Linked DNA regions of Caenorhabditis elegans. The protein of the gene in region 1 interacts with the protein of each later gene in a pairwise test. Each region holds a gene or a part of one and is shown in the gene's direction. Other genes may lie near its edges.

Region 1 (8,329 bases):
TAATCTCTATAGGTCTAAAAGCGTGGAAGACAGTGGAAAATAAAATTTTTTATTCTTATATCATGAGGCATATTAAACCAAAAACCACAAGAACATTCCCATTACTCGCAAATCCAAAAACATCCTCATCAAAGCACAGGTACACATTTCCACAATACGAATCTTGCGCTTGGGGTAGTGCTTCAGGCTTCTCAGGCCTCTCAGGCTTTTCAGGCTTCTCAGGCTTCTCAGGCTTCTTAGTAGTCTCGAGCGCCTTTCTTGTAGTCGTCAACACTTGCTCCTTCGTAGATTTCATAGCAGTTGTAGTTTCAGCTGGAGTTGTTGTAGAAGTTACAGTTGTTGCTTCAGTGGTGGTGGTGGTGGTTGTAGGATCAGTAGCGGTGGTAGGCTCTGTTGTCGTGGAAGTAGTAGTGGTCGGAGGTTCACAAATCCCACTAGCCTTACAAATTTGATCAGAGAATTGATTCAGGTACATGCCCTTCATTATTGCAGTGCCATCTGAAAAATGTAGGGTTATTGTTGAGAAAGGCATGGACAGGTAGGCATGTAGGTGAAGGTAGGATGTCGCCTGCTAAACGCCTCAGCTGCCTACCGCTGGGAAAGGTCTATCGCGGGCCTCGTATGATGTCGCCTGCTCCAGTTACTTTTAAAGTCAGTTTCGTAGGGACAAGTAGGCCTTCTCTGGAAGGCAGGCATGGTTTTAAGGCGTGCCTCAATGTAAAAAAAGGCAGGCAGGCGTTTTAGCGCCTACGCTGATCCCGTAGAGCCCAAAAATACCTTTATTGGTTTTCAGCTTCTCATAGGTCCGTCCCATAACATAAGTACGATTTTTATCATCTTGATCCGAGAAAAAAACCATTCCCATCACTTTTTCGTAAGTTTGCAGGCAGAAGGTGCCGGGTTTTATATCTTTGCATTGGACAATCTGTGGAATTTGGAATTCTAAACGAAAAAAATGAAGAAAACCTACATTTCCGGGGTACAACGTCTTATTGTAAATAGTATTAACCAAGGCACCGTCATCTAATCGATCATCTGAAAGAGTAAGACCTTATAGGCACGTAGGTAGGCACATGCTTACATTTGAGGCACATATAGAAGTTATTCTTCGACTTTGTTGCCTTGAACATTTCCCCTAGAACCATTCCATTCGAATGCGATTCGCATTCACCGAGAAGTTCTGCAGGATAATCGGCCATTTTCTCCATTTCGAGCACGTTATTTATACTCTTCATACTGGAAAAATTACTTGCCTACATGCCTGCCTACAGGCTTCCACTTACTCCGACGTGCAATTCATTCTCTTGAACAAAGTTTCATTAATAAGATCAGCTTCGGCGATAAAATTATTTTGAGATACAAAAACAACAACGTGTTTCTCTCTTCCGGTGGTGTATGAATAATAATAACTCGATCTGGAAACGAAGAAGGTAGGTAGGCAGGCAGGCAGGCCGAACTCACAATTCTACACTTCCACACTTTTCTAGTCGTTCGGCATTTTCAGCGTCCGTCAGCTTCAAGAAGTCCACAGTAGCTGCTCCACGAGCCAACAGAAGCAAGAGTAGAAAATTGATTAATTTTCCCATCAAAACCATTTGAGAGGAGAAATTGTAGAAATGATTGAAATTGTTAGGGATTCTTGGAATATAAATAGCTAGCGGGAAAGAATAAACGGGGATTTTTGAGACGTGTAAGGTTTACGCGAATATTTCAGGTTCTACATGCCAACCAGGGCTGGGACTTTTTTGGGGCCACAATCGGAAATGTCCGGCAATTGGCAATTTTGACAATTGCCGGTTTTGGAAGTTTCCGGCAATAGGCGATTTCGGCAATTGCCGAAATTGATTGCTGGACATTTCCCGCAATTTTCAAACCTTATTATATTTTGGAAATTGAACAAAGTTAACCTTATTTTTTAGTATTCGGTTAGCCATTATTCAAAAAAAAACGGTCAAAAGGATTAAATAATTTGGAGCTTGAAAATAGATAATTATTCATTAAAATGCATGTTTAGCCTCCTAAATCTATAAAAAGCTTCAAATTTATATTTCCGGCATATTAATCGGCAATTCCGGCGATTGCCGGTTTTCAAAATTTTCGGCAATGCCGAAAATTTGCTTGCCGAACGGCAATTGCGGCGCACCCCTGTTGCATATATTCCTGAGTGCCTATGGACCTACCTACATGCCTACCTTTTATTGTCGCCCCTAAATTACACCCCGACCCTCATAACAAACCTAAATGGCGTCATTAATAAAACTTAGCAGCCGACAAAATGTAGGCCAAAAAACATTTTTTTTCTGTTCTTTTCTCTGCGTTTTTTCAACGTGACCTCGAAGAGATAATACTCGGCCACCAATTTTTAAAGGATCTTTTTTGTGATCCTCAACTTGAAGCAACAGTGAGAGTGCACAAACCTCGGCCATGTCACTGGTTTTTATAGGTACCCACAATTCTACAGAATCATGGCCATAGCCGCGGATAGGGAAAACTAGGCTTACAGAACCAAAGTCATCAGCAATAACGTGGCCTAGAATGGAAGAAAACTCGGCCACCAACTTTTTTCCCTTCTAAACGAAAATTAGTTAATGACGGACAAACTGCATGAACCTCAACCAAGGTCACCCACAGATCCATGACCATGGCCGTGGATAGGAAAAATTTGTCCACTCTTACAAAACTGAAGTGGGGCGGTGGCCGAGGATTGAAAAAAAAACTCGGCCACCAACTTTTTCCCTTCATCGCCGCAAAAAAAGCAGTACCGTTCTTTTCTACCTCCCCAGAGTGCTCATTTTTCTCTGACCAAAGTCAAAATTAAAACTCTCACGAATTGATAAGAAGCTTTTCAACCACCCGCCTCCCTCCAGTCGTGTGATTGATAACTGTGTTTGATAACTATAACAGTGATTTGTACTCTCCTCACCCATTTGTACTCACTATGTTTCGTTCCTTCTAAAACCAAAAACTTTCAGCAATGCCGATTCATGTGGACAAACCGGACACAATGCAAAATGAGCTCATCGATATCGTGGCAGATGGGCTCCGATCGAATCAGATTTACACGTTTCGAATGATGTAAGACTTCAGTACATTATTTAAGTTCAAAAATTTTTGATACTGATGATTGATGTGTTGTGTAGTTTAGTAATTGCTATTTAGGCACAAGGCCAAAAAATGACCGAGGTGGCCGAGTTTTTCTTTTTTCAGCCACCTAGAAAATGCTGGGCGGTATCGAGGCTTAAAAATTTTAAACCTAGACTTTTCCAGCTTGAAACATGACTATGGAACTCACAAATCGGAAGCAACATTTCAAGCGGACCCCGCTGGAAGAATCGACTTGAAGTATGCGAAGCCCCTTAGAGGATCTTATTACGGTAGGTACACAATACCTAGAGTCACTCTAAATCAGATATTTAGATGCTGATCCGATGGGGTTGTTCCTTGGAATGAAGCCATGTGAGGATTTTGCATATGGTGGATATCTTCGGTGTACTCCGCCAGTTCCGTTTTATTATCTGTTGGAGTAAGTTTTATACTTTTTCTAAACTTTTGCTAGTTGCACTTCCTTTAAAAATTTCCGCCACAAGACTATGTACACAAACCCCTGCAAACATACAAAATTTCAGACTCTTTGATTCATCCGGAACCCTTATCGACTCTACCTACATCAAAAAGCACTGGATGCACCCAAAATTGATACGAACCGAGTTAGAGGAAGATTTCTGTGCGACACTCTTCAAACCTCCCGGTGATGGTCCCTTCCCAGTGGTCCTTGATATTTCAGGAACTGGTGGAGGAATCCATGAGCATAAGGGTGCTATGTTAGCTTCAGAGGGATTCGTTGTATTATGTCTTGCCTTTTTCCAGTTCAAGTATTTACCGCAAAAAATGGAAGATGTAGATATGGAGTATTTTGCAGTGAGTTGTAAAATTTGAGCACTAAAATTAGAAAGCTAATTCCAGAAAGCAATCAACTACTTAATTGATCTACCATTCACAAAAAATGTGATAGGTATACAGGGAGTCTCGTTTGGCGCAACTATTGTGGACTTGCTCACCACAAGACATGGCGATAAGGTAGGCAGAATTTATTGTTCTAGGTGAATGGCGCTAAATGATAGTTGACGAACTTCAGCTCAAATTAGTGGTGGACGGCAATTGCTGTTCGGCAAATTGGCAATTTTCCGGTTTGCCGATTTGCCGGAAATTTTCAATTCCGGCAATTTACCGGTTTGCCGATTTGCCGTTTGTTGGATATCAATTTGCCGAAAGTTTCGGCAATTGCCGTTTTTCCGGCAAATTTGGCAAATTGGTAATTCGCCGATTTGCCAATTTGCGTAAACTGCTAATTCCGGCAATTTGCTGATTTGCTGGAAATTTTCAAATCCGGCAATTTGCCGACTTTCCGGAAATTTCCAATTCCGGCACTTTGCCGATTTGCCTGAAAATTTCAATTCCATCAAATTGCCAATTTGCTGGAAATTTCAGTTTCGGCAAATTGCCGATTTGCCGGAAAAAAATCGTTTGCCGCCCACCCCTGTCTCAAATTCTGTCTGCCGCACATACTTTCGAAAAAGTGTTTAAAATTTAATAGAAAGCACGTGCAGGGGTAGCGTGTATGTGTAAATAGTCTGCAACTAGACTGCCATAGAAATTTTTGGAGCAAGTGCAATAATTTGTGCTCCAAAACAGTCCTATGAGGAAGTGAAGCGGAAGTGACACGGAGCACCGATTTTTTGCCAAAAGTAAAATTTTGGGAGGGTCGGGCGGAGGAGAGCGTTTTTTGAACAAGCAAAAGTTTTGCAACAATTTTTTTTGATAGTTCCTATGATTTCTGTCTTGTTACAATACCATGACACAGTTTTTTTTTAGAATTAGTAAAATCTGGAACTTGAAATGAAAACGAAAAATTCGCTTCAAAAAACCAGGAAAAAATTTAAAAAATTTTTTTTTGGAAATTTCAGAATTTCAATTTTTATCTACAAAATTGTACGCATTTTGTGAATGTTCTTACATCTATTTTGAAAAGTAAGCAATTTCTATGAAAATATCTAAAGAAAACAGATAAAAATTTCAAAAAGGCACAGTTATAAGTATTCCGTCTTATTAAAAATCCCTCTAAAAAATGACGAGAATGAAAATTTCCGGCAAATCGGCAAACCGGCAATCAGCCGATTTGCCGAATTTGTCGACAAAAAAATTAACCGAACTGCAACTGCCGCGCACCCTTGATCTAGACTGTTTTTTTTTTCATACTTTGCCAATCCTCCTTAAACAATAACCATAAACTATTTCCAGATCAAGGCCCTGGTCTCCATCAATGGCCCCCAAGTCGTATCTGACTACCTCTTCATGCAAGAAAACGGTGCCCCAATTCCTCATCTCTCCCATGGCCAAGTCACTTTGGAGCACTGTCAATTCATTAATGGAGTCATGTGTTCCCATAGAAACTTCCAGATTATGACAGAAAAATTGACACCAGAAACTGAAATTCCATGGGAACGAATCCCCAGTGATGTCAAAATTCGTGTAATTGTAAGTGTTCGAGCTGACGTTCAGCGGAAATTTTGTGAGCTTCAGGGATCCGTGGATGATTTGTGTCAACCATCGGTGCATGCAACGTATTACAGACAGAGAAGACTCAAGGAGACCGGGCATGATGTGGAGGTACTTTTTTTTTTAATTTGGAGCAATTTTTGAGCTCTGGCACCATTCAGGTGAAGCTGAGTGGCAATATGATTAATTGATAAGAGAATTATCAGAAAAAATAATAGTTAAGCATTAAAGAACTCCAGACAGTCAAAGTTCCATCAGACGTTTTTTTTTTCAACCGAAATTCCGAAAATAATCCGATTAACTCAGAGGTTTTTTATTCTAATAATATTATTAATTTTATCTTAAAATCGAGTCTGATAACTGAAAAAAATTTCAGGTTGAACTAGTGAATGGAGGACACATTATGGAGCCACCATACTTCCCACATCACGAACTCGTCTACGCAAAATACCAGGGATTCTATTGTGGATATGGTGGAGAAGTGGTTCTACACGCAAAATCACAGGAGAAGACATGGTCCAATACTATCAAATTCTTCCAAAAAGCTCTTGGAAATACAAAGAAAATTCAGGATTGGGATCGACTGACGGTTGTGGTGCCGCCGAGAAAAAAGAGCAAATTGTGATAATTTGAAACTTCTTTGAACATTGTCTGAACATTATGAACTTGAACATTTTGTGAACCTTTCCACTAAAACTCTTTATGCAGCAAAAGATCTCTTCACTTGCTTCGTCAGAAATAGTTTCAGGAATTTTCGACGTTGTGAGAAGCGCTCTTTCAGTGGGGTGATATATCACAAGCTTCACGCGAGAAATTTCATTCATTTTTATTTACGTGGAATCATTTGTAAAGCACCGTAGATTAACTTTTGGGGATAATAGTTGATGAAATTGAAGAAATGAGGATGATACCAAGGGATCAAACTCATTAAAAAATAACTGTGAATAATAAATCGATAATCAGTTCAAAATTTTTATCCTCAAAAATCAACTATTAAGCTTGCTTCTATTGCTCACTTCAATTGAAATGTCTACTACACCAATACCGATGGATTCCGCGGACGTACTCAGTGCCAAGGATTGCAAAAAGGTATGTAGCGGGGCTGTGCGCCAACCAGTGGTTGCCAAAGAAAACTAAAGGGCGATCATTAATTATAGCGGTCAATTAAAGTTATCTTAAAAAGCGTTAGAAAATTAGTTTTAAAAATTGAATCATTTTCTGTATTTTAACAGCCATAAAATTTTCCAACCACTTTTACAAAATATATGAATTTCGGATTTTTTTTGACTAAAAAGGAGTTTTATGAATTTATGAATTTTCTGAATTACAGAAAATATTTAGTTCACTAGAAAATCAAAATACGCGTGGGCACTGTGAGGAGTGCGCAAAAAAGTATAAATATAATTTGATCTACCCACAATTATAGGTTTGATCTACCTTTCTTGATCTCCCCGCGTATATTTGTATTTTACTTCCCTTTGAATCCTCGCGTGAATCTCCCTCTACTTCGCCCTTGTTTAATTTTGTAATCGGCTTTTGCCCAAATTGTCGAGATTTTTTTGGTTTGATTTTTTTTTTTTTGGTTTGACCTGCATAACTTTCTGTGAACAAAATTCAAAAATGATCTTTATGGTTGAACTCACATAAAATGTTTTAAAAAACGTGTGTAAGGAAGAACACAAAAAATATTGCTATAATTAATGGTCTCCCTGTATAAAATTTTTTGCAACTTTTGGATGTGAATATCAGAAAAAAAAGCTTTATTAATTTTGTCATCGGCTTTTGTCCAATCTGCCAAGTAACTTTTGGCAATTTTCAGCAACAAATTTATCAGTTTCCATTCATAACTACCTTTTTACAGGTCCCGCCGTCCCAAGTGACTCAAGTGAATGATGATGATCTAGAGAATTGTTCCGATGAACAATCCGAATATGGAGAAGTAGAACATACCGAATCCCCGTTGCCACTGCAGAAACTTTACTCAAAGTTTTGTAAAGTAAACAGCCTCAAACAGTGGTCACAATCAAGAACCTGATTTGTCCACATCTCTGCGATGCGATTATTCGCTCCACAAAATTCGCTGACGAGCATCTGATCAAAATGCTCTATGGGATGAGCTTTGAAAGGTAAGAATTAAAAACCACCAAGTGCTGACCACTAATAAGTTAGTTTTTAACTTTTTAAGCGAGATTTCATATTTTCCGAAATATTACCAAATAAATTCCAGATCCCGCCACGATTTGAAGCTGAAAACATCTGACGGCATGCACTGCGTGATGACAAATAAGGAGATTGTCTGCCTGGCATCTCAATTCTTCCGTCAACATTTGAAGGACACAACGACCGAGTTCACAGTTGGAAGAGCAGATTCAGTGGAGAGCATTGACATTGTATGGTGAAGCTTCCACTTACGCAGAGGACGTTATATAAAATTTTCAGTGTCTCACATACATGATCACTGGAATCTACAAAAAACCTGCTCAATTTTCTCCAAAACTCGCTTCAGAGATATTTGCTTTGGCTAATCAATGGAAGGTTTTGGAGCCGAAAGTCCTCAAGAACTCGATTGAAAAGCATTGCTGTGAGGAGTTACAAAAGGTGAGAGAGCCTGTACGTGTTCCAGTGAGCTTATAATACAAATTTTCAGAACTATGAGGATATCATGTACGTGTGCAATATGCTCATCATCGCCGAAGACGCTCACTTTACCAACGTTCAGAGCTGCTGCATTGCCACTTTGGTCTTCTATCACGTACGCGATTTCATTCGGATT
Region 2 (5,701 bases), on another chromosome or scaffold:
ACCCGCCGGAAAGCTTGGAGATACAATTCAAAGCGAGTGGACTGAGATTTCTAGTACTTTAGTTGTCAAGTCTCCCGGATCACCGCTAATTGTTAAAAATGGATTTAATTCTGAACAGGGGGTTGTTGCACATCTCCATTTCCCGAGGTACGCACTGTTTTCTTTATTTATAAAAGCCAACGCCGCTAAGATAATGAACGGTGGTAATTAGCCGAGATCAAGTGGTTCTGGAGACCGGCAAAGCTCTTTGAGCATCATGACAGCTTGGGATAATATACGGGTCGATTCAAGGCCCCCCCCCCCCCATATTTTTTATAACTGCTACACACTAATTAATCCTATTGCAGAACCGCATACGACAGTTGTTATTTCCGGCTACAAGTCAAAAACGCGACGAATTCGGTTGTGACGGATATTCGAGTGGACCCCACATATTCAATTCTTTTGTCTCATCTGGAGTTTGACTCGTCCTACGCAGTCACTTTTTCTGCTCTCTCGTCGGATCAGAACACTGCGACAACACCGATTTCAGTGAGGTTCAACTCGTTTCAATGCAAGCAGGTTTATGGGAAAGGAAGCCTTCAATGTGGTGAGTATTGAGACAAAAAAAAGCATATAAGACTTAAAAATATGTAATTTAAAATGGGCGAAATATGGAAATGTCCGAAAAATTGGAACTGAAAGCTAAACTTGAATTTCACAAACATATGATTTTACGCGGAAATTAAATTTCCATAGTTTATTTTTTTTGGACTGAACGTTTATTAAACCAAACGCAAAATTTATGAGCAGCTTGTAAAAATGTATTTGATTGACGGAAATCGACAAATTTGCAGTAATTTAAGCCACTTTCTCATATTTCTAACACCTACCAGCTTATAAACTACAATTATCGGTTATTTTTCTTTGAATTGTGTGTTGTGTTGTGCAATTCTTAATTTAAATGAAAAACTAAATTTTCAGCCCCCGAATCTGTCTCCAATATCCGAGTGGCAATCCAACCCAACTCTACCGCAATGATAACCTGGACCGCATCGGCTGAACCAGAAAACATTCTAACCTATGCAATAACCTACCAAGCATACCTTGGCCCTTGCAATAAGGACCCAACGACAGTATACCTACCTGCCCCGTCCACAAGTTATGAGATGCCTCTCCCACGCAACGTTCATTGCGAGTTTATGTTCCGCATCACCAACTATGACGCAATTGGTACGTTCTAGGCTAACTTTTATTTATTGACTTGTATATTGTAAATCCCTTTTTTTCGTTACGCAATATGCAATAACGTTCATCGTTTGTCCTACTCAAACTATTGCATTTCAGGCCGAGAAGCGTTTGCTGAGACGAGGATTGCTGTAATGCAAGAAAAGTTGATAAATTCTTCACTGAAAATCATCGCCGTCGGAGTTTCGTTCACTTTTCTCATCTTTGCTGTACTTTGTTTTGCTGTCTGCAGATGCTGCAACAAATGTCCTGTGAAAGTTTCTGAGAACAAGGCTAAACTCACAGATTACGCCTGATTTTTAGTTCCAGGTTTTAGTAGAGCTTAGCAGTCACATTCTCATTATTTATGGGTATTTCGTTGAACCAAAGTTAAACTTTGTTACATGTTATCTCGGGTTTAATTCATTATGCTATTTTAATATTTAAGTGTTCATTTTTTATACCTTGTGTTGCTTTTCCGGTTTTGTAAATAGAGAATTGTTTTCTATAAAGTTTGTCATGAGAGATTCAAAAATGATTATTAAAATTGTATTGATTTTTTATTCAGATTCGCAAATATCAACTAAATTTTTATAATTCCAAACAATCATAAAAACACTTAACAAAATACATCAAAAAATTAAGCGGGCCGAACCGGGGATCGATCCCGGGACCTCTCGCACCCTAAGCGAGAATCATACCACTAGACCATCCGGCCACGTTTCGAGCTGATATGTATTGTAGTTTTCCTGAAATAACCATATGCATAATACATCAAAAGCATATAACCATTCGCTACAAGGAAAAAAGTAAGTGGGCCGGACCGGGGATCGATCCCGGGACCTCTCGCACCCTAAGCGAGAATCATACCACTAGACCATCCGGCCACGTCTCGTCGTGAACGCCTCTTCCTACACATGCACGCTCTCGTGAATAGCGCTCTGCGTGTGGTCGACTAGTCACAAACCAATAAACAAGTCTATCTGCGTCTCTACTAAACAAGAAAACTCTGAACGCAGTAAGCATTGACCTTGAAAATGCAGAGTATGACTTTTTCGAAAGTTTTGGTTAGGAATAGGATTTCTAACAATCAAAATTGCTAATCGTGAGAAATTGTTTTAATATAATTCAAATTACTTTTCATAATTATTATAATTTTCACAAATTGTTAAACTCGTAGAAGATGATGTAAATATGAATGTATTCCGCGATCAAATACATTAATAATACATAAAAAAATATTCAAAGCCTTTTCTTACAATTCCCCATAATTTTACTGAATGTGTCTCACGATTCGATCAAAATACAAGTTTTCAAAGTTACATGCTGAAAATGCTTAAAAGAGTAAAAGGAATGGGCCGAACCGGGGATTGAACCCGGGACCTCTCGCACCCAAAGCGAGAATCATACCACTAGACCATTCGGCCACATGTTTCCAATGTCAAAATCATGTGAAGACACTAGGTGGTCAGAGAACTGATCCGCAAACATGTTCGGAATAGAACAGGTGCGAAATGCATAGGCGCAGAAAATCTTAGCTAGGAAGTGTATTGATCGGCCTTTCTGGTTTGCAAAACGGACTGAAATAGTTATTAAAATTACACGGATTCAAGAACTAATACACAATAAAATTCATTGAAGTTGAAAAACAAAATTAAATCGTAATTGAGTTTCAAAAGTCTGTTAAAATTGTAAAAGAAACTTACAGACCCAATAGGGTTGAAAGTTGTCCGGATGGCTCAGTCTGGATGGTTGTCGCGGTCAAACTTAAGGTCAGCATTTCTTACCTCCAGACTACAGCCAGTCTTTCCTGAAAAGTCGAGCGAAGCTTGGATTTAACTTACAACAAGACCGACGGAGAGCAGACTGGCTTAATTCAAGAAAAAGTTTTGAATTTTAAAATATTGCCCTGATCTTTTCCATTCTTCCTGATAATTTTTTTGACGTTTGTATTTGATTGGCATTCCAGTTTGACATTTCGATATTATTCCTATTATAAATTCAAATGAATGTAATCTTCCTTCCCATTGAATCATCCAGAAGGTCATGTCCATGATCTATCCTCATGACTCATGGATTGCAAAGAAAGTTTCAAAATATACACTGAAAACGCCCTCGTTTCTTTTTTGTTCATTCGTTTCCATATACGTCATTGTTTGCTCTTCTCTATGGAAAAACGAGAAACTTCTTCTGACAATGCAAACTGATAACCGTATCACATTGTGAAACCTTCTCGTTTTTGAGGCAATAGGCGGATCGCAAACTAACAACTCACAATCGATCGTTTTTCAACCTTTCTGTTTGATTTTTTTCCCTTTTAAACCCCTCAACTTACACTTTTTCTTCAGATGTACGGCCGTCGCACGTGCAGTTCTTCCTCCTCAAGTTCTTCCTCTAGTGACGGTTCTTATCGTTCCCCAGTTGGCTTCGGTGTTACTCCAATTATGCCTCTTCCATATGGAGCCCCTCCACCACCAGTTGGCGCCGGAGTTGGATATGCTCCACCGCCACCAAGACCTTACGGAGCCACATATGCACCCCCACCACCTATGGGAATCGGTGCTGGAGTGAATCCTAGTGGATATGTCCAACAAGCCCCACCACTCCCAACCCAAGGATACTCGGCGTACAACCAACAACCACCTCCACTTCCACAGCAACCCTATCAAACTAACATGTATCCAAGCAACCCAGGATACTCAAGCACACCAGGCTATCCACAACAGCAGCCATATCAAATTGGAACCGGAGCCACGCCAGCCGGTATGTACCCACCACCACCAACAGGGCAATATCCTCCACCTCCACCCGGACAGTATCCAGGATATCCAAGACCATATTGAGTTAATATGTAAGCTTTTGTATACCTTTTGTACTACTAATCAATTTAATATACCATGTTTTTTCTTGCTGTTTGAATTGCCAAATAAATGTTAAAACTGTTCAATGTTCTTTTCAAAAATTTTAAGAAATACTCCAACAACTATTGGTTGGTTTGAGTGTCAGTGGCACGTGGAAATGTTTGAAAATTACCTTTAGAATAATTTTACTTGATTTGTCTATTTATGCATTCAACATTTATTGTTAACTTTCATAAATCCTATTGTTCCAATAGATGCAATATTGGACACATAATCAACTTGTCTAAATTAGTTCTGATTGTGGTTTGATATAACAGTTCGATACTATAGGTCTAGGAAATATTCGATTCGATGTCACAATATTAAACATAAATCTTCAAGTGATTTCTGTGAAAATCAAATGAATTCTATGATCTCCAGTAAGTCGGACGCTAATTCAACGAGTATTATTTGATTATTACTGGAACCCATCAAAGCAACTCTGGAACCCATTAAGAGTAAAACAAAAAATATAGCAAAGAGTCATAAGCATGTCTGCATTAATTGTCATCGGTCAGAAAGTGACTAACCGGTATTAATTTTTAATTACTTCGTAACCACATTTTAATTGAAAAACTTGTTGCAACTAAACTTGTTAACAGAGTTTTATCAGTTTCAGAATTAGTTATACAAACGTTAGAAGTATGGAAATTAGTAAATTTTCAGGTAGCACAAAAAACTGTTCACTGCTAATGTTCTTTGGAAGGCACATATAATGTTTCAAGAGGAGAATATTTTATCGAAACTTTTTTATCTAACTGAGTTAATGGTTTAGCACGCGTTTTACAGAAACAAGGTTTAAAAAATGTGAACGGAATTATTTCCTTTAATCAATATTGAAATACTGATTCACCTAGTTACTAGGTTTCTATGGAAATGTTAGTATTTCTGCGCATCACAGTAATCCTTTTTAGTGTCCCCTGCCTGTAGTAAACTAGGGAGTGATGACTGGCATTTTCTTTTTCCTCCATGTTAGATCTAATTCTTAAAGTTAGTTTTGTTCAATGTACTCTAGTTTGTGGAACGCCAATTGAACGAATATTGTTATTTGATTCTTACTGGAACCCATCCAAGAAACCCTGGAACCCATTAACTCGCCGAACAATAAAACAAAGAATATAATAGAGCGTCAAAAGCACTGTTCGCTTTAATTTTCGGTCGGTCAAAAAGCATCTAACCGGTGTTTCGGGAAAGCCGTGCCAATAAGTATTGCGCAGTTTATTCCAGTTCGGACGGGGAACTACGCGGTTTCAATTGTTTGAAACGGGCCAGTTGTAGGTGAAAGTGAGCGTGCGGAACCTTAGGATGAATGAAGAAACTCACCGGCCCGCCTTGACTGACCCGTCGACGTCTAATGAGTTAGTCTACCTTGTTCCTGTCTTTTCGTTTCAATGCTTATTCTATTCACTTCTACTCAATTTCATTTCAAGAATCTATAATACGTTCAAGAATCTAAAAATAGCGTTTTTTTTTTCAAAAAATCTCAAACCGTGAGACGGTGTCACCTACTTGATGAACTCTTCAAGTAACATTGCAAGGACGAGATCTTAGCAAAATCGGTTTTTTATATGTCATTCAAAGAGAAAACTCTCAAG
Region 3 (9,325 bases), on another chromosome or scaffold:
CTTATGCCGACATTCTTTTATAGAAGAAAATATTAGAAATATCACAGAAAAGGGCAACAATGTGTTCACATAGTTCACATAAATTTATTATGTATTAAGAAAACATCCATTTGCATAATTATTTTCTGCCAACAAAGAAAATGGGGAATTAAGTTCAGGAAAATTCTTGACACGGTCATAAGTTATCCCATGCTCAAAGCTTTCTAAATTTTCATTATCATGGAGAAAAAAGTGAAGATTTTGAACCGGTGTCTTCACATAATTTTAACTTTGCCAAAATTGGAAAACGTTTCTTATTCTAACTTCTAATGAAAACTGAGAAATGAGAAGTACAAAAAAGATTGCTGATTTTTTTCAAAACATTTCAGACACAAGAACAGGAGAAATAGAAACAGCCAATTACTTTTCAAAATGACCGATGAAAGTGACAGGTCCGACGGGCTACTACTGGATGCAAACATTTCGCGCACACAAGCATCTACTTTGTCATATTTCTCATCTACTTCGTAACAAATCCTAAACGTTTTCTTCTGGCTTTGAAAAAGAATAACTGGCAAATAGGCTCAGCATTTACAACAAAGATAAAGAAATTTGCACCAGAGATTAAGAACTCAATTTTGACATTCTAGTCTACAGAAAACGCACGTGTCAATCTGACATTTTTGGCTAAATCCTCGATGCTATTTATGGAGACCGGGGATGCGTGTTGGAGTTTCCTTTTGGGATTAATCCTCAAAACGTGAAAAGTGCCAAAAATAAATAGAAAAAGTTAATATTATCAAGTTCAGACTAACAAAAATAGAAAATATCGGAAAAAGGGAAAAGCCGAGGGCTAACACATAAAAATAAGAGCGCACGATGGTAATTCCGGCGAAATTTCGTGCCATTCCGTGAGAAATGCCTATCAAATGCGAACAGAATTTGTGAGAAGGGAAAATGAGCAATTCTTTTTAGAAATAATCATGGGAAAACTGCATTTTTTAAAGAGAAAAAAATATTTCGAGGAAAAAACTAATTTCAAAATGAAAACAATCGGCAAACGCGCCAACTCACGCCGAATGCGCCAGCAGTAGTACTTTTCGATGCAGCAGTTACTGTAGTTGAAAATTTTTTTTAAATCAGAAATTAAAATAATTTTTATATCTGAATTCCCAATTAAATGAAAAATTAGAACCAGTAAAAATTATTTTAATGAATTTTCTAAACCGGCTGCCCCCGCATCCAATTTCCACGTTGGTTTCAAAAAATGAAAATGTCTCATGAATCTCTGCCAACAAGGTGACACTGAAAAAATGACGGAAAAGCGGAGAGAGCCGTTTTGCATGAGCATGCTCACTCGAACACACGCATTATTGCTCGGTGGCGGTTGGGCTGGCTCGACAAACAAAGGAGCGGCGACGACATTTTTGAAGATTAGAACACAGAACAGCCGACGATTTGAACATGGAGAACACATGCACACAATAACTACTGTCCGAAAAAGAAAGATGGGTTGTGGAAATGAGATAACAAGAAAATATGATGAGAGAGAGAACCGCGTCATTGAGTAGAAAAAAATTGCACTGTTTCTCAAAAGGCTTTTGCTCGAGTATTTTTAAAATCAATAATATGTGGATGAACTCCTAAATATCGGTATTAAAAAATTTGGTCAAATATAAAAAATTTCATTCGAGTTAATATTTTTGTTGTAACTCTTAGATAAAAATTAAATCAACATTTAAAAATTAAAACCTGTAGATTTCAAAAAAAAAAATATTTGAAACAGAACAATTACAACAGAATAAATGTGAAGAATCTCAGGAAGCAGAAACACATTTTGAACATCTGGTGGGCAGACGGAGATTGAAAACCTACATTGGACCCGATGAATAGAAAAAAACGACGATATAAAGGAGTGTAGAGAACAGAAAAATGGAGGAATTTCCTATTCGTGAGAACCTGAACCTTTAATCACAATCGACAATTTAAGTATGAAATTTGTTTAGGAAATGGAGAAATTCTTGATATAATTAACTGTTTTTTACAATCAAAAAGAAACTATAACAGGTATCATTGTCTAGTAATGAGAAGAGCTCGCGTGATGATTTGAAGTTGGAATATAGACTTGTCTTGTTAAAGCTGGTGTTTCCTGTTGAGCACGTGGCCCTACTATCTCATCATCAGCGTCATCTACTACGACGCTTGTGAATGCATCTTCTTCAACGACTTCTTCTCCTACCGGCATCAGAATCATCATTTCATCGTTTGGGTGAGTAGGGTGTCCGTATTGATCAACAATTATTTGCTTTGGGCGAACATTCATGTGATGTTGATTATGCATTCGAGATTCTCGTACTTGAAGCTGAAAATTGATACTGGTATAAGTAATCTCGTACTTTTTATAAAATGAAAACTCACTGCGTCAATCTCTCGATATTTCTCGATTCTCATCTGTCTAGCAATCTCGGTTTCAGTTGGGTGTTCATGTCCAAGATGCCCGAAACAGGCGACAACTTCGTATTGCCCATGATTTCTCATACAACATTTAATAAATGCAGGACACTGCTCACATCTTCTGCCTTTCGATTGCCCTCGAGAATTTGAAAACAGGCATTTATAGAGCATTGTCCGAATAGCAAATGATACTTTTTGCGAAGTCCTAAGGAAAAACTCCGAATTCGTCGATTTTTCCATTTGCTTTTTCCACTTCTGAAAATGTTAAATAGTTGCAAATAATCAAATAATACATACCATAAATCCAGCTTTATCTTGGAAAGTCACTCTTCGAATTCGGAATGAATCAGTTGCCCTCGAAAGATCTCGATGTTCGGTGTCGACGTGAATCGCCAGATCCAAATATGTAGGAACACTAAAATATTTAGAGACTGAATATGTTTCTTTTTTATAAAAGTCAATACTTTTTATCACATCCATAACTTGGACAAACGATATTGCTCACAGACGATCCTCCAACAGCCATTTCGTCAACACGCGCACACGGGCTATTATCTTTTTTTAAATGGCTCGTTAATCCTGTCTTTGTGATAAACTCCATTCCACAATTTTCACAAGAATGCAACGATTTTCGCTTCGGCTGAAAATTAACTTGATTTTCAAATTTAGATAATTGAAATATACATTTGGTCTCCCGAGTCGTTTTTGCTGTTTCATCATTTCACATTGCTGCTTCGTGAAGCCATGATGATCAAATAAATGATTGTAAAATCGTTTATTTGTGAGATCTTCTTTACAGAAATGACACACCGAACTGCAAAATTTTCAAATCTTTGCGGATTCGGCTAATTGATTTACTTACTGGTCTTGATTAGCAGCATATATATTTTCAGGTGTAAAATAAGTTCCTTCCATAACATAACATGGCACATCTGTCTGTTCTTGAACTTGAACCATAGTACCCGGACCATCGTTGTACTCCTCCTGACAGTAAATTATTTGCTGAAAATAAATATTTAATTTGAAATGGGAGAATGAGTTACCTCTTCTGCGACTTCAAGTTCTTCATAAGCTTCATGATTTACTATATCGTTTTGCTTATATCCGTCATTCATGATGAAAACTGTAAAAGCTTAACTTCAAAAATATTTTTAAAAAAATGTTTTTCAAAATCAATTTTTTTTTTCGTAAATCGACATTTGCAAACGACACTCCGTTGAACAGACACGCTTGTTGTTTAGCGTGCACGCCCCACCCATGTTGCGTTAATAAATATTTTTTGATTTTATCGATTAATTAAATAATTGTTCACTTATTCTGTTAGAAGACAATTGAATTTTGACTTTTTAATTTTCTCTCTTAAAATTCATGTAACCGTTGTTTGTTTGAGGATTGATGGCTGAATTGGACGAAGCAGCGTTGTTAGGTGACGGTAACGAACAACATGATGGTCCCATAGACGAGAATGCGTTGCTGGATGGGTAAATACTTTAATGAAAAAAGAAAATGCTAAAAATTTATTTTTTGATCCAGAAAAGAGCTCAAGGAAGAAGATATTGACGATCTGTACGATGAAGCGATTGCACCCACAAATTCAGTGAGTTTTCTAATGAATTCTTATTAAATCCTTATAATTCTTTATTTTAGACGGAATCAGCAAAACCTGTTTCACCAACAATCACCACTGTGACTGCTCCAACTGCTGGAATTGGTGCAAAACCAGCGACGTCTTCGGAAGGAAGAAAATATTGCTGCTACGTGGGAAACCTTCTCTGGTATACTACAGATGCTGATTTATTGGTAAGTGACTGTAAAACTGAATGTCTTCAATAAATTTTGTCCAGAAAGCTCTTCAATCCACCGGCCTTGCACGATCTCAATTCGCTGACATGAAGTTTTTCGAGAACAGAACGAATGGACAAAGCAAGGGATATGCTTTATTGGTTTTGAATTCTGATGCTGGTTAGTAGAAACTAACAAGATATTTCTAAAAACTTTATTTCATTGCAGCGGTAAAACAAACTATGGAGATTCTCCCAACTAAAACTATCCATGGCCAAAGTCCAACTGTTTTGTCGTACAATAAAACGAATCAGGCAAAGCTGGAAGATGCGCAAGCAAAAAATCAGACCCGTCCAGACGTCAAGAAAAAGGTAAAAAAAGAGAATATAACACTATCGTTGAAATTAGTGCTGTGACTCTCTGCTACTCCACGGCGCACCGATATAAACGTTTTCCACTTGGTACTTGTGGTCGTCGAGGGAAGCGCAGTCGGTTGCGCAGTTGGCTGTCAGTCAGCAGTCCGCGTGATCGATTCCCGCCCGCGCCTAGAAACTCAGCGGTGTTTTGTCTTTATGATCATGAGCTGGTAGCAGGTGCAATATTGATTCGGAGTCTTACCGGCGTCCACCTTCTGAAGGGTGTGCGTTAAAAGTTCATCCGAACAATTTATCACTTTTTAATAAAGTTTTCGAAAAGTTATACTAATTATGAACATTTTTAATTTGGCAGGGTTTCGAAGAAGGATGTGTCAATATGGGAACTATTCGTATTGGAGCTGGAGGGCAAACTGGTCGAACTGGAACAAGTGTCTCTGGTAGATCTGGACCTCCACCTCTCATGATGCAGCAAGTTCGACCAACTCCTTTGATGAGCCAACCTACATCTCTGCCAAGCAATCTAAATCAAGCTCCTCAAATGCGATTACAAATCAACGGACAACAAGTTCCATTAATGAACCGTGCTCCTGTGCCACAACAAACAATGTTAGGAAATGGACCATTAGGTGGAATGAATCAACAAATTCAACAACAACCTCAAATGATGATGGGACAACAAGTTCGACCAATGATGCAAACATCAATGGGAATACAACCAATGATGGGAATGAATGCACCACCTCCAATGAATAATCAATTCCAGAATAGGTAATCGTATAATAATCCTCTATCATTCTTTTTCATTTCCAAATAGTTCTAGACCACCACAACTTGGTTCAATGGGTGTTCAGCCACTTATGCAAATGAATACAGCTATGCGTCCTCCTATCAACGGTCTTCCACCAGTCCATGTCAATCCACAGGTAATGGTTTTTTGAAAACTAAAAATAATTTTGAATGATAATTTTATTATTTTCAGATGTTCCCCGGACTTCAAGGAACAGTTTTATCTGACGCTGAGTTCGAAGATGTAATGACAAGAAATCAAACTGTATCATCGTCAGCTATAGCTCGAGCAATAACTGATGCATCTGTTGGAGATATTAAAGGAGCATCTGAGACTATATTGACAGCAATTCAATTGATTAAAAACAGTCGAATTGGACATGATGAAAGATGCAGACAATTGGTTTATGGATTGGAAGTACGTTTAAAAAAAATCCTTCTTGAGCAAAACTCTAATTTCCATTGAAGTTTAAATGATAGAAAATGGACCTTAATGACCGTTAAAAAATGTTCGATTTTTTATGATTTTTCGATAAAAAACTCGATAAAAAATTTTTCATCGTTTGTCAATTTATTAGTTATGTCTCTGTAAGAAAAACTTAATTGATAAGAAATAAATTTACTGAAACAAAACTTTTTTGCTAACATATCAGTGATTTAAAATTTAATTTATAAATCTAAAAAAAACGGTGTTTCAAATCAAATATCAAAGAAAAAATCAAGAAAAACCGATGAATCTAAACATTTATGCAAATTTGAAAAAAAAAACCATCAAAAATTCAGAAATTTAATTAAGTTTTTAAACAGTTATCTCAATATGGTCATTATGGCTTTTTTCTTTCATTTGATACAAAATTTCACAACGACCATACTCCACCTTTACAGAAATACAAAGTAAATCGCAATTTTTTTTCATAATTATATATTTTCCAGCACACACTCAAAGGCCTTGAATCAAAAGGATATTCGTCTCGTTCAAAATCACATCGTGATCGTTCAAGAAGTCGCGAAAGAGATCGCAAAAGAAGAAGACGCAGTCGCACTCGCTCACGGTTCGTTTTGGAGCAACAATTTTTTTTGAAAAAATATTTTTTTAGCTCATACTCGCGGTCACCATCTCCACGCCGTCGTCGTTATTAAATAACACGACTTTCTTCAAATTCAAGATTATTTCTATTTTACTCTTCAATTTTCACTTTTTCAACAATTTGGTAATGCCGATGCTTGCTTTTGCACAAAACAATTTTCAATTTTTCAGATCCAAAAATGTTATATAATCTCTAAATTTCATTCTCAATGTTCACTGGTCGATTTCGATTTATTCTCACTTGCATACGGGATCTGCTCACTTGTACTCTAAAATTGTAAGTTTTTGACTTTTTAATTGATTTTCAGATTTGTTCTTTCAATTACCTTTCATTGTTCTATTTAAAATCGTTTTGAATGTAACTCCTCAAGTATTGGGTCATTTCGAAATTTCAGTTGTATCGGGAGTATTTCGAAAAAAGTATGCTATGAAATTTGTAACATTTTGCTAGTATTTATTGAGAGCACATTAAAATTGTAATATTTTCATTTAAAATAAGCTTGGGTTTGGGTAAGCATTGATTCTATAATGTGAAATTGATATTTTTTTTGATTGAAATAGATTTTTAATGGTGTTAGTTGTTTTTATCATTTAAGCTTCCTATGTGTTTAATTCTATATTTTGTCCTTTAAATGTAGTTTTGTTTATTCACTTACGTCTTGAAATTTGATAGGTTTCAGCTGAAATGATAATTTGAAAATTATTTGTTAATCCTTTTTGTCAAAAAATTTAAAAGTTTTAGGCATTAATTGTAATGTCAGTGATAATGTGAAGAAATAAGCATAGCTGATATTTTCTATTGTATTTTTTTATCTCATTTCAATTGTATTTTCCAACAGGTCCAGCAGCATCCACGTGGCATCGAGTTCAAATCGGAATCGTCAAAAAAAATCCCCGCAAAATCCTCTCAACAGAAATTTTTTCTTGATCTGAAATTCACATTTTGTTTTCTAAAATTTCCAAACATTTTAAATGATTAATTGTAATTCGAGCACATTCGATGAAAATTCATTGAATTTGTTGACAATTGTGTTGTGAATCCCGTTTCAATTCTTCAATAAGAATTTAATTGGTAAGCCAATATTTTTTATTGTATTTATTCACTTATCCAAAATCCCTGGTCTCATTTTCGTGAGTGCTTCCTTTTATTTTTCCTGATCCTCGCATTTACATGGTTGAAATCATTGCTTTCAGAATGTGTTTCAAGCAAAATAAAAAAAACTTATGTTCATATTTCAGAATACTGGCTATCTTCCAACTCAACAATGATTCGTGTACACATTTTCTCATCAGTGCTCACTATTGGATTATCTTTTATAAACGTTGTCTTTAAAAGTTTTGTTTAATTTAATAAATTGCAAATAAGAAATGTGTTTTCATTGCTTCCTTTCCCATGAAGTCGAATTTGTCGACTGATGTAGTACCTCTAGAATGAATTGGATATTTTAAATATGGAGTAATTTAGGATGCCATCAGAAGAAGGATCGGTGGTACGATGGCTCGTGTGTGGGGCGACAGCTGGTTTAGCAGTTGATATTGGATTATATCCATTGGATACAATTAAATCAAGAATGCAATCTAAACAAGGATTCATTGCAGCTGGAGGTTTTAAAGATATTTATAGGTGAATACTTGGAAAAAATGGATATAATTAGTTGGTTTTCGGACATTTGAGAGCTTAACCCAAAATTAAATTCAAAAATTCAGATAAATGAGGACGCAGAAAATAAACTTTCGAAATGGAAACAAAACGCTCCGCCCCCGAACCTAGGGTCTCGTTAGGTATTTGGCGGCAAATCTGTAAATCCAAACGTTTTAAAGTAGTTTTGCCAATTTCACCAATTTTCAAGTAATTTTCTTTTTTTAATCAATTTTGGCATAAACCTCATTAAACATATCTGGAAACATAACCAAAAAGCTTTTAAAAGTCAAAAATCGGTGAAACTCATCGAAAACGTTTGATTCACGGTTTTGCCGCCGAATACCTAACGAGACCCATAGCTCGTGGCCGGAGCGCCGATTTCAAAAGCGGCATTTTTCTGAGTTTTCTGCATAATAGCTGTAGATTAGATTCTCTATTTCAGGGGAATGATCTCAGTATTAGTTGGCTCAGCACCCGGAGCTGCCATTTTCTTCCTCACTTACAAATACATTAATGGACAAATGAAACAAGTAATTGAAGAAAGAAATGCTCTTGTGGATGCTGTTTCTGCAAGTTTGGCTGAAATTGCAGCATGTGCTGTAAGAGTACCAACAGAGCTTTGTAAGCAAAGAGGACAAGTTAATAAAAATGAACGACTGACGTTAATATGCAAAGAAATAATGGAAACTAAAGGAATACGTGGATTCTATCGAGGATACGGTAGCACTGTGGCTCGAGAAATTCCTTTTTCAATTATCCAGTTTCCTATTTGGGAAGCTTTGAAGAGGGCAGTGGCAAATAAAAAAGTTAGTTTTTTTTAAATATCTTAATCTACAATCACAAAATATTTCAGGAATCAGGTCGTTGTAGTCCATTGGAAGGAGCTGCTTGTGGAAGTGTAGCTGGATTTATTGCAGCTGGTTTAACGACACCATTAGACGTGGCAAAGACACGTATCATGCTCACAAAAAACGGTCCAGCTCCTGGTATTTTGAGCACATTAAAAGAGGTGAGTCTGAAGAATAAAACAGTTGAAAGAATCAAATTTATTGCCAATTTCAGTTGTGTACATATTAAGTTGCCTATATTAATTTGCCGATTTGCCAATTTTGGCGGAAAAACGACATTTACCGAAGATTTTCGGCAAATTGTGGTTTGTACATTCTTTTTGGAAATTTCAGAATTTCAATTTTAATCGGCAAAATTGTACGCATCCTA
Region 4 (7,953 bases), on another chromosome or scaffold:
TGGTTAAGGATAGGAAAACATTCTGAAAGCTTTTTGGAAACTTCTGTATCAATCAAAAACTTGTAAGTAACTATGTATAATGTCGGAAATCTTTTTAATTCTGAGTATACTCTAGGGTTTCAGCTTTATCACGAGCTTCTGGATCTTTAAAACTGAAAAAAGCCTGAGCGACAAAAATAGAAACACAAAGAAATTCAGTTTTTCCAGATTTGGGGGTCTTCATTTTCCTGAAAATTTTAGAACACAGCTGCCAATAACACATACTTGGTATTTTTGTAGATAATGGTCCCTTTACAATATGTTCAATTGGTAATGGTTTCCCATATGTGAATAAAAAGTAATTTAATAAACTTAAACCTCCTAAAATTTTCAAAATCTCAAGTTGAAATTGTAAATTTTCAGTTTTCAAAAAAAAATTAACGTTATCAAGAAATTTTGAACGCTTAAAACTCGAATCAATTGAGAAACATTTGAACAAATAAATTTCAAATCGTGTTTAAAAAAATGTATCCAATTTCAGAAGGATTACAATAATTTCAGATTTAAATAGTAGATCATATACTTTTAACACCTGCGATTGTTATCTGATCTACAGTTTCGATAAGAAAGGTGTTGACTGCTGCTCCAACTCCCCAAATTGGTGACGAGAGCAGATGGATCCGCAGGAAGTACAAATTGTTCTCCATCTGCAACCAGACATTATGTGCCACGTGGTAGTCGATTGAGGTGCTATAAATGACCAGATATTGACCGTTTTTGGAATCTAATTACAGACAATGAACGTATTCAACTAACAGCTGTATAGAGTATGTGGGTGTCTGGTGACTTATGACTTATATGGTTATGACACTAAATTTGAAGAGTGTCGAATATTGCAGCAGATTTGCAAATTCCCCATAATTCGAGGTATTGTTTGCAACAATAGATATTATTGTTCCTTATAATTCATCAAACAATATTAATCAGCATTTTGCATTTGTTTGAAAGTACCAAATTTTGTAAAAGCCTTGAATAGGGATGGCAAACCGAGCGCCCTGTTTTTCAAAAGTAATTTCTCGAGTTTTAATTTGGTTTTAAAAAAACGATGTTCAGATATTGGAACAAGCCGAAACTATCGAATCAGCTAAAAAACAGGCAACGAATACGACAAGTATCCGTAAAACCAAACTCCGTAGTTATTCCGATGCGCCGGCTATAGTTCTGCTCACCTCTGAAGCAAATTCATTGGGCAGATTGATGGTATAACTAAATTTTAAAAAAGCTAAATAAATTAAAATGTTCAAAAATGATTCGTCAGTTGACATTTTTTGATAATAGATACATCAGAAAACATATTATACAAGTTAATACTGCATGAATTGAAATGTAAAAAAAGAGTTTACAATGGGAATGTAGCATAAGTACCACCCACAGTCAACTGCGAATTTACGACAAAAAATAAAGTTACAAAAGTTTAGAAAAAACAATGTAATTATCAGTTTATCTGATATCCCGTATTTTTATATCTTGGTTCACTTTGGTTTTATCAAAAATTTGTCAACTGACAAAATACTTGTCACAATTTTTTCTACATTTTACCAGTAAAATTTGTTTTAACTAAAACCAAAGAAAACCGAAATATAAACTGTCAAAATAAAACAATGGGGATGTAATTTTATTAGGTAAAATATGGTGACAATAAATAGCCAATATCAAATCTACAAAAGAGGAATAGTTGATGTACACTACTAATGAAAGCAAATGGTATAAAGAATACGCCTCTTTGCATTATTGACCGACTACCGTATGCTCGTCAATCAATGTTTTGCTAGGAGAAAAGAGCACGTCAGTTCAATTGTTGAGGACTGTAGAAATTGGTGACAGATGTGATGAAAAACGAGAACATGATTATCAATTGGATTACGTGGGTACTTTTTTAATTGAAGTCACTAACTATAAATAAAACACTTGGAATTTCTTTTAGCCGGCTTTCTCGAAGTTCATATGTTGATAAATATAAAAATAGAGTTTCAATATTTCTATTTGCTCTAAATTCTTCAAAACTACCGAAAAATTAATTATTACCCAATTAAATACTATAAAAAATTAATTTCTTAATGAGACCTCTTGAAACCTTCCTGCAATTTTTTTTGACGGTTCAAAACTTTTCAATTTTCCCAGTTGGTCCGTGTCGCAGCGGTTAAATTAAGTGGGTGCAAGAAAGGTAATAAAATTTGTGCACACTTAGCCATTATAAAAAAACAACAAAAACTCAAAATAAATAACCAAAATAAGCAAGATATAGAATTAATTGTATAAAAGATAATTTCCGGTCACTGTCAACAAGCTGTGAAAATTAGAAATTATAGCTAAAACCTATTTTATTGCAGTCCACTTGAACTTTAAAAATGATTAAAACTTTGTGAAATTTTGAAGAATTCGTATAAAAATTCGGTCTTATGAGATCAGTTTAAGTTTTGTAGTGAAAAAAATACATTTCAGTTCTCCAAGTAACACTGTTTTATTTCTTCTAACTATACGAGCAAGTTTCAAGTTCATTTACGCCCACAAAAATTTCAAAACTATTCTCCCAAAAATGTGTATCTTATTATTCACTACAGTAATCTGAGCCCATGTTTCTTTCAAAATGTTCATCCCCTCATTCCACGACAAAACGAGAATGTTTAGCTATTAACTGGCTGCTTAAAAATTCAAAAGTCTCAATGAAAGGAAAGGTAATCTGAGACTGCACTTTGTTTCCATATTTCTTCTTCTTCTTTTCAGCTCTTCTTATTTTTTCAAACTTCAGCCTCTTCGTCATTTCGTTCCGGTCTCAGCCATACTGTCAGGAGTCAGTCCGGAAATCATCATCCAATTAATATCTGCAGAGGCCCATCCTCACCTCCTAACAACGTGAGGGCTCCTATTTCAAACGAGAAGCTACTCGAATTCGACACTTTTATTCTCGCCTATAATTAATCCTCAACACAAATTTCCCTCCCACCACCTCATCCCAAAAGAGCTCTACAGGTGCCTCCCCCTCTTGGACTGTTGTACCGTACCCCTCAACACAATATTGCTCGATTAGCCCCGCCCATTTGGTCTTCTAGGAACGTTTGCAAGATGAGTAGTATTCCACCTTATTTCATGACAGACCATCCGCCAATTGACACTTCTTCATATTTCGATTGTTATCAACAACATCAGCTGCCACTTCAATATACATTCACTTCATCTTCAAATTCAAACACCTCTAACTCTTCAACATCGCCTTCTCACATCTCGGATCAATTTTCATCATCTGGAGGTCCGCCCTACGAGCTTTCGTCTCATATTCTGACACCGTCTTCTGTAATTCCGACTCCTTCTCCGTCGGTGGCATCTGCTTCAATCAGCTCACCGACTATTCCAGCTTTTGGGTGCACAATGTCCGAATATTCAATGGAACAGGTTGGTTGTGGTATTAAATTTTTAGCGAGGGAAATCAAATATCAGAACTTGAAAAAAAGGTTTCTACTCGAAGTCTAACTATTTCGAAATGTCACAGTTTAGTGCTGGAAACCTGGCTCTGGACGATACGGTGTTTTTTTCAGGTGTTTTTTGACAGTTTCCATGATAGTTGACTTGTTGTAATAACTGGAAGCTGTGTTTTGTTAATAAAAAAGTCTAGAACGTGGAATGAATTCTCGAAAAAGTACCACTTGAAAAACAAAACTTCCGGGTTGCCAGCCATATCACAAGCCGACTTGTTCGCTTTTAATGTTCTCAAAATTTTCGTTGAATTTGAAAGTTTAGTGTTTCACAAATTTTTTTGGTGATAGATGTGTATACCTAACAGGCTTACCGCAAATTTCACAAAGTCAAAAATACATTCAAAAACTTGTGAAATCTTAAATATTCATAACTGTCTCAAAGTAACTTTTTTTAAAAACATGTTCAACATGCACATAGATCAACTGTAGTTTTTATGATTCTTGAGTTTCATCTAAAAACTCAAATTTATTCCCAACAATTTTAGATGGAAGCAATCTCCACATCCCTGTTTCAAGCTAGAGATGGTGATCGATTGGTAGCATTCTTCAAGCAGTTGGAGTCATTGTACGGACCAAATGCAGTAGATCATTTGCGAAGTGAAGCTATCATCGTAGGTATGTTTGATTAGATAGTGATATTTTTGAAAATACTTTGTTCCGCAAGTATCTGATATAGAACTTTACAAAGACTCATTTCTTCAAACTGATCCATTTTTTGCTATAAGAAATTTCTAAAAAATATCCTATAGCAGAAAAAGTTGCTCCCGTAATCCTTCCGACTTGAAAAACTGCGGTAATATCTGCTGTCAACACTCTCACTATTGCTATGTATTTTAGTTCTTCTATATCAATAACGCAATTTCCTCGATTTTGAATAATACCTCATTCGATTGCGTTATATCCTGCTCTTCTCAAATTCCAAACCATTTATTGCGTTGACTCTTTTTAGTACCCGCCATTCCATCTAACCCTATTCTCCAATTTCAGCCTACACATATGCCTTATATCATTCCAATGAATTCGAGACACTCTTCCACCTTCTCTCGAATCGACATTTTCAACAGCGTCATTACAATGATCTACAAGATATTTGGCATCATGCAAGGTACAAGGAAAGTCAGCTGAAACGTGGCAAAGAACTGAATCCAGTGGAAAAATATCGGCTGAGACGAAAGTTTCCGGCTCCGAAAACAATTTGGGATGGTGAGGAGATTGTGTACAGTTTCAAGGATTCGAGTAGGAAATTTTTGAAACAATTTTTCCGCAACGTCTCTGAATATCCGACCCAGGAGCAGAAAAGAGAGATTTCAAGAGCAACAGGACTCAAAATTGTACAGGTTTGTGAGAAAAATATTAACTTCAAAATTGCTTATTTAGTCAGTAAATTAAGGAGAAGTTAGTAGAATCCCTGGGTAAAACTTTTCACATTTTAACTGACTATGTACAGTACTTATTACCAGCTGCCAAGTCGTAAACGCTTGCGTGCTATCCTTGTCTGAGTTGAGTTTGCTTATATTTTTCCAACAATGATTGTAAAAAGGAATGCGTGAAAAGACAGTTGCCGACTAGTCGCAACTGAGCAGACGGCTTCTCCGAAAGAATTTGTTTATAAGATCTGCAAGGTCAAATTGTAAGGATCATAAATTATCTGTTTCATTTTATTGTCAAATTTCGAGTAGAAGATTAGTGTGATTACAAGGATTCTATGGTAGAACAAACTAAAATAGGATCTGAAAAAGCCGGAGCGTAAATTAGTACATGGTAAAGTAATCTCGAACAAATTTCAATTTTATTTTTCAGATTTCAAATTGGTTCAAAAACCGTCGCCAACGGGACAAATCGAACAATTCAGCCAAATGCTCCCCACCTTCCAGCTCGAGCAGCACTAATGGTGGCAGTGACTTTCTTCCAATAATAACTCCGCAAAGCTTTAACTTGGCAGCTGCTCCATTCAATATGAACATGATCTATGGTACATTACGTGACAGTCAGTCTGATAATGATCAATTCACTTTCAATCCGTAATTTTTTTTAAAATAAAAGTAAAGTATTTACCCATTGTATATTTGAAATGCTTTAAAAGTGCAAAAAGAATAAACTGTTATTTTTAGAAGTTTGCCAGGCTATAATTTTTTTTTTGATATTTAAATCTGAATTCAAGAATCTGGAAAAATATCAGAATTTCAAGGTTTCTTGCAAGGTTTTTTGAAACACTGAAAAAATAAAAACAAATTTATTGAAACAAAAAACCGTAGCACATATTGCGGACATAAATAAATAGAGACAAAATGCAAGATCACAAATAACCCCGAAACAAAATATATTAGAACTTCGTAGATGTCGGATATTGGCATACTATATAATCTATCCAGTAAGTGAAGTGCTCAAAATCTCCTTCGCCTCCTTCTTCACAATTCGACACCGAATCCTTCGTTCCAGCCATCTGAAACACCTCAAAATCGGAGGATTTTTTAGAATCTCGGAGCTCAATGATACACTCACTTTTCGAATCGAACTTTGCCGAAATAGGCCAATGTGTTGGTTGCCGAGTTGAGAATGACAAGGAAGTCTGAGATTCGCGTGACTTTTGTCATGAATGGGCCGAAGTTTATACTGTTTTCAATGAGAACCTCGTAGAGATCAATCAATGTTGGCAGGGATCTGAAAATTGAAAATTTGAGCTACCAAGTTTTTATGTTATGTAACAAAATAATTAGTACTGTCTTGGCATTTGGCGATGATTTCTTGCTCAAGGTAAACACTTGGCATGACGTTTTTTGACCGCACTTCAAGTTCAGCCCAGGCTTGATTCAACTCTTGGCAATGCTTTCTAGGTTTAAACAACACAGAATAGTTCGGACAAAATATTGGAAATAGTTGGATCATATTTGAGTTAAACATAGAGTATGGTCTAAACAACGCACAGTTTCTACATCTCTTGCAAAAGCTTTGCCACCTTTTGAACCAAGTTCCCACTTTTGGGATCAAACTTGGAGTGGCCAAAAAAAGTTTGAAGTTCTAGCCTATACTCACCTCAAAATCAGAAATTTGACAACAATGAACACAGCTAACGCCTTCGATGCTTTATCCTTCAATTCCTCCGTCACCAGTGTGTTTCTACTTCTCTTCTGACTCTCAAAAAGCCTCCTCCGTTCCTTGACATTCTGATGCATTTTGTATTCAGTGAACAATGACAGCGTGGAGATGAAAAGCATTGGTCCCAATGTCTCTGTTGTCATGGTAAGGGCAACTTTGAATTGAAAATACTGAAACAATGGGATTTATAGAATAGAGTGAATAGATGGTTACGTACCCAATAAGAATCTCCTCTGAGTTGTGTCATCTGGAGCATTTTTGATTCAGTCTGATGAACTTCATCAAAGCATGTAATAAGGTTGAATTCAAAGTAGGAAGTGCTATGAATGACGAAGCAGAGGATTACCAGAAGGACTGAAAGTATTAAGTTCAATATTCAGAGAGAACAGAAATTTTAGTGAATTTTGTGAAATTATTTCAAAAATAATGTATTTTAAACTATCAATTAAGTATGCAACACTAGTTATTATGACGAAGAGTGGTCTAAAATTCGGGATTCTCCTTTTTGAATAATTCACTTTTCATTCCTTTTCCGAAACTTTCAAATTGTTGCCCTTTTCACATACTTGGAACTAGAAATGGTCTGAAGAATCTTCTGAAATTTGCTCCTCTTTTTCCAGCATTGCTTCTGGTGTGAAATTCATAGAACATTTCGGCTGGAAATGAAATTGTGAACTTTGCCGACTCTGTGGAAGATGGCTGAGCAGCTGTGCTCATTTTGCTTGCAGATATTGATTTTCTCTAAAAAATATGATTCCTTAAATTTGAAAACAAAATGTGTGTCACTACCGATCTTCCATAATGTGATGCAAATTTGAGTGGATTGTTGACAACTCTGTATCGGATGTATGTGATGTAGCAAACTAGCATCGGCTGAAAAATAAATCAAAAATTATTAAATTTCCTTTTAAATTTTGCATACCGATGACATGGCAAAGCTATTCCGTATTCCATACAGAATAAGAATCATATCCTGATGTTGGTAGAAGATATTGGTACGAAATAGGAGAATACTAAGAGGTTCAATGCTTAGGAAAAGAACGGTAGTCATCGTAAGCATAAAATCCATGAGACACAAAGTATATAAAGCTGCTGACATTCTTCTATTCAAGTGCCCATTTCGAAGGAATCCAATAGCATAGACAGTGCCAATGGCAGAGAAAATTGCAGCGGATATTGTGACGGGGCCCTGAAGAAATATAATGTATTTTTTGAATTAGTTCAAGCATTTTCTGAAAAGTATAGTACCACTGATTTCCGACGTCACATATCAATCCCTGGTTAGTTTTTTATTGTTCGAAGTCCCTAAAAAGCGTTTCCCCTAATCCGAAAGTCGTCAATTCTT

Evidence for each region.
Region 2: the proteins of W03D8.8 (region 1) and C16B8.3 interact in a two-hybrid assay, tested with the Caenorhabditis elegans proteins (one large-scale study listed by BioGRID).
Region 3: the proteins of W03D8.8 (region 1) and cfim-2 interact in a two-hybrid assay, tested with the Caenorhabditis elegans proteins (one large-scale study listed by BioGRID).
Region 4: the proteins of W03D8.8 (region 1) and unc-39 interact in a two-hybrid assay, tested with the Caenorhabditis elegans proteins (one large-scale study listed by BioGRID).

Annotation. Positions count from the first base shown.
Region 1 is NC_003279.8:2,788,715-2,797,043, forward strand, and holds W03D8.8 (BAAT/acyl-CoA thioester hydrolase protein), read left to right. Parts: upstream 1-2,972; 5' UTR 2,973-2,974; coding exon 2,975-3,075; intron 3,076-3,267; coding exon 3,268-3,374; intron 3,375-3,417; coding exon 3,418-3,523; intron 3,524-3,626; coding exon 3,627-3,918; intron 3,919-3,963; coding exon 3,964-4,077; intron 4,078-5,298; coding exon 5,299-5,535; intron 5,536-5,580; coding exon 5,581-5,667; intron 5,668-5,932; coding exon 5,933-6,181; 3' UTR 6,182-6,262; downstream 6,263-8,329. Other genes in the region: W03D8.1 (uncharacterized protein), read right to left, coding at 56-498, 778-925, 971-1,035, 1,082-1,236, 1,284-1,415, 1,462-1,595; W03D8.7 (BTB domain-containing protein), read left to right, coding at 7,657-7,682, 7,784-7,946, 7,996-8,154, 8,204-8,329.
Region 2 is NC_003284.9:3,966,488-3,972,188, reverse strand, and holds C16B8.3 (Annexin A7), read left to right. Parts: upstream 1-3,554; coding exon 3,555-4,049; downstream 4,050-5,701. Other genes in the region: C16B8.4 (Fibronectin type-III domain-containing protein), read left to right, coding at 1-147, 348-589, 964-1,212, 1,327-1,523.
Region 3 is NC_003282.8:8,922,512-8,931,836, forward strand, and holds cfim-2 (RRM domain-containing protein), read left to right. Parts: upstream 1-3,816; 5' UTR 3,817-3,828; coding exon 3,829-3,914; intron 3,915-3,960; coding exon of another isoform or gene 3,961-3,966; coding exon 3,967-4,030; intron 4,031-4,080; coding exon 4,081-4,233; intron 4,234-4,277; coding exon 4,278-4,395; intron 4,396-4,443; coding exon 4,444-4,586; intron 4,587-4,630; exon of another isoform or gene 4,631-4,882; intron 4,883-4,944; coding exon 4,945-5,360; intron 5,361-5,406; coding exon 5,407-5,515; intron 5,516-5,571; coding exon 5,572-5,796; intron 5,797-6,311; coding exon 6,312-6,430; intron 6,431-6,475; coding exon 6,476-6,518; 3' UTR 6,519-6,589; intron 6,590-6,636; 3' UTR 6,637-6,742; intron 6,743-7,304; 3' UTR 7,305-7,537; intron 7,538-7,704; 3' UTR 7,705-7,730; coding exon of another isoform or gene 7,731-7,811; 3' UTR 7,812-7,835; downstream 7,836-9,325. Other genes in the region: D1046.16 (uncharacterized protein), read left to right, coding at 369-389; D1046.2 (C2H2-type domain-containing protein), read right to left, coding at 2,057-2,341, 2,398-2,688, 2,731-2,848, 2,898-3,073, 3,118-3,247, 3,296-3,435, 3,477-3,548; D1046.18 (uncharacterized protein), read left to right, coding at 7,731-7,811; slc-25A26 (Mitochondrial carrier protein PET8), read left to right, coding at 7,932-8,089, 8,550-8,913, 8,961-9,116.
Region 4 is NC_003283.11:14,370,263-14,378,215, forward strand, and holds unc-39 (Homeobox protein unc-39), read left to right. Parts: upstream 1-2,811; 5' UTR 2,812-3,126; coding exon 3,127-3,429; intron 3,430-3,997; coding exon 3,998-4,127; intron 4,128-4,499; coding exon 4,500-4,849; intron 4,850-5,205; exon of another isoform or gene 5,206-5,226; intron 5,227-5,312; coding exon 5,313-5,537; 3' UTR 5,538-5,619; downstream 5,620-7,953. Other genes in the region: npr-43 (G-protein coupled receptors family 1 profile domain-containing protein), read right to left, coding at 5,877-5,964, 6,015-6,173, 6,546-6,778, 6,826-6,962, 7,175-7,349, 7,398-7,481, 7,531-7,797. UniProt on the Caenorhabditis elegans protein: Probable transcription factor required for differentiation and migration of neuronal cells, such as RID and CAN neurons. Specifically, plays a role in the terminal differentiation of RID peptidergic neurons. Also required for CAN neuron axon guidance.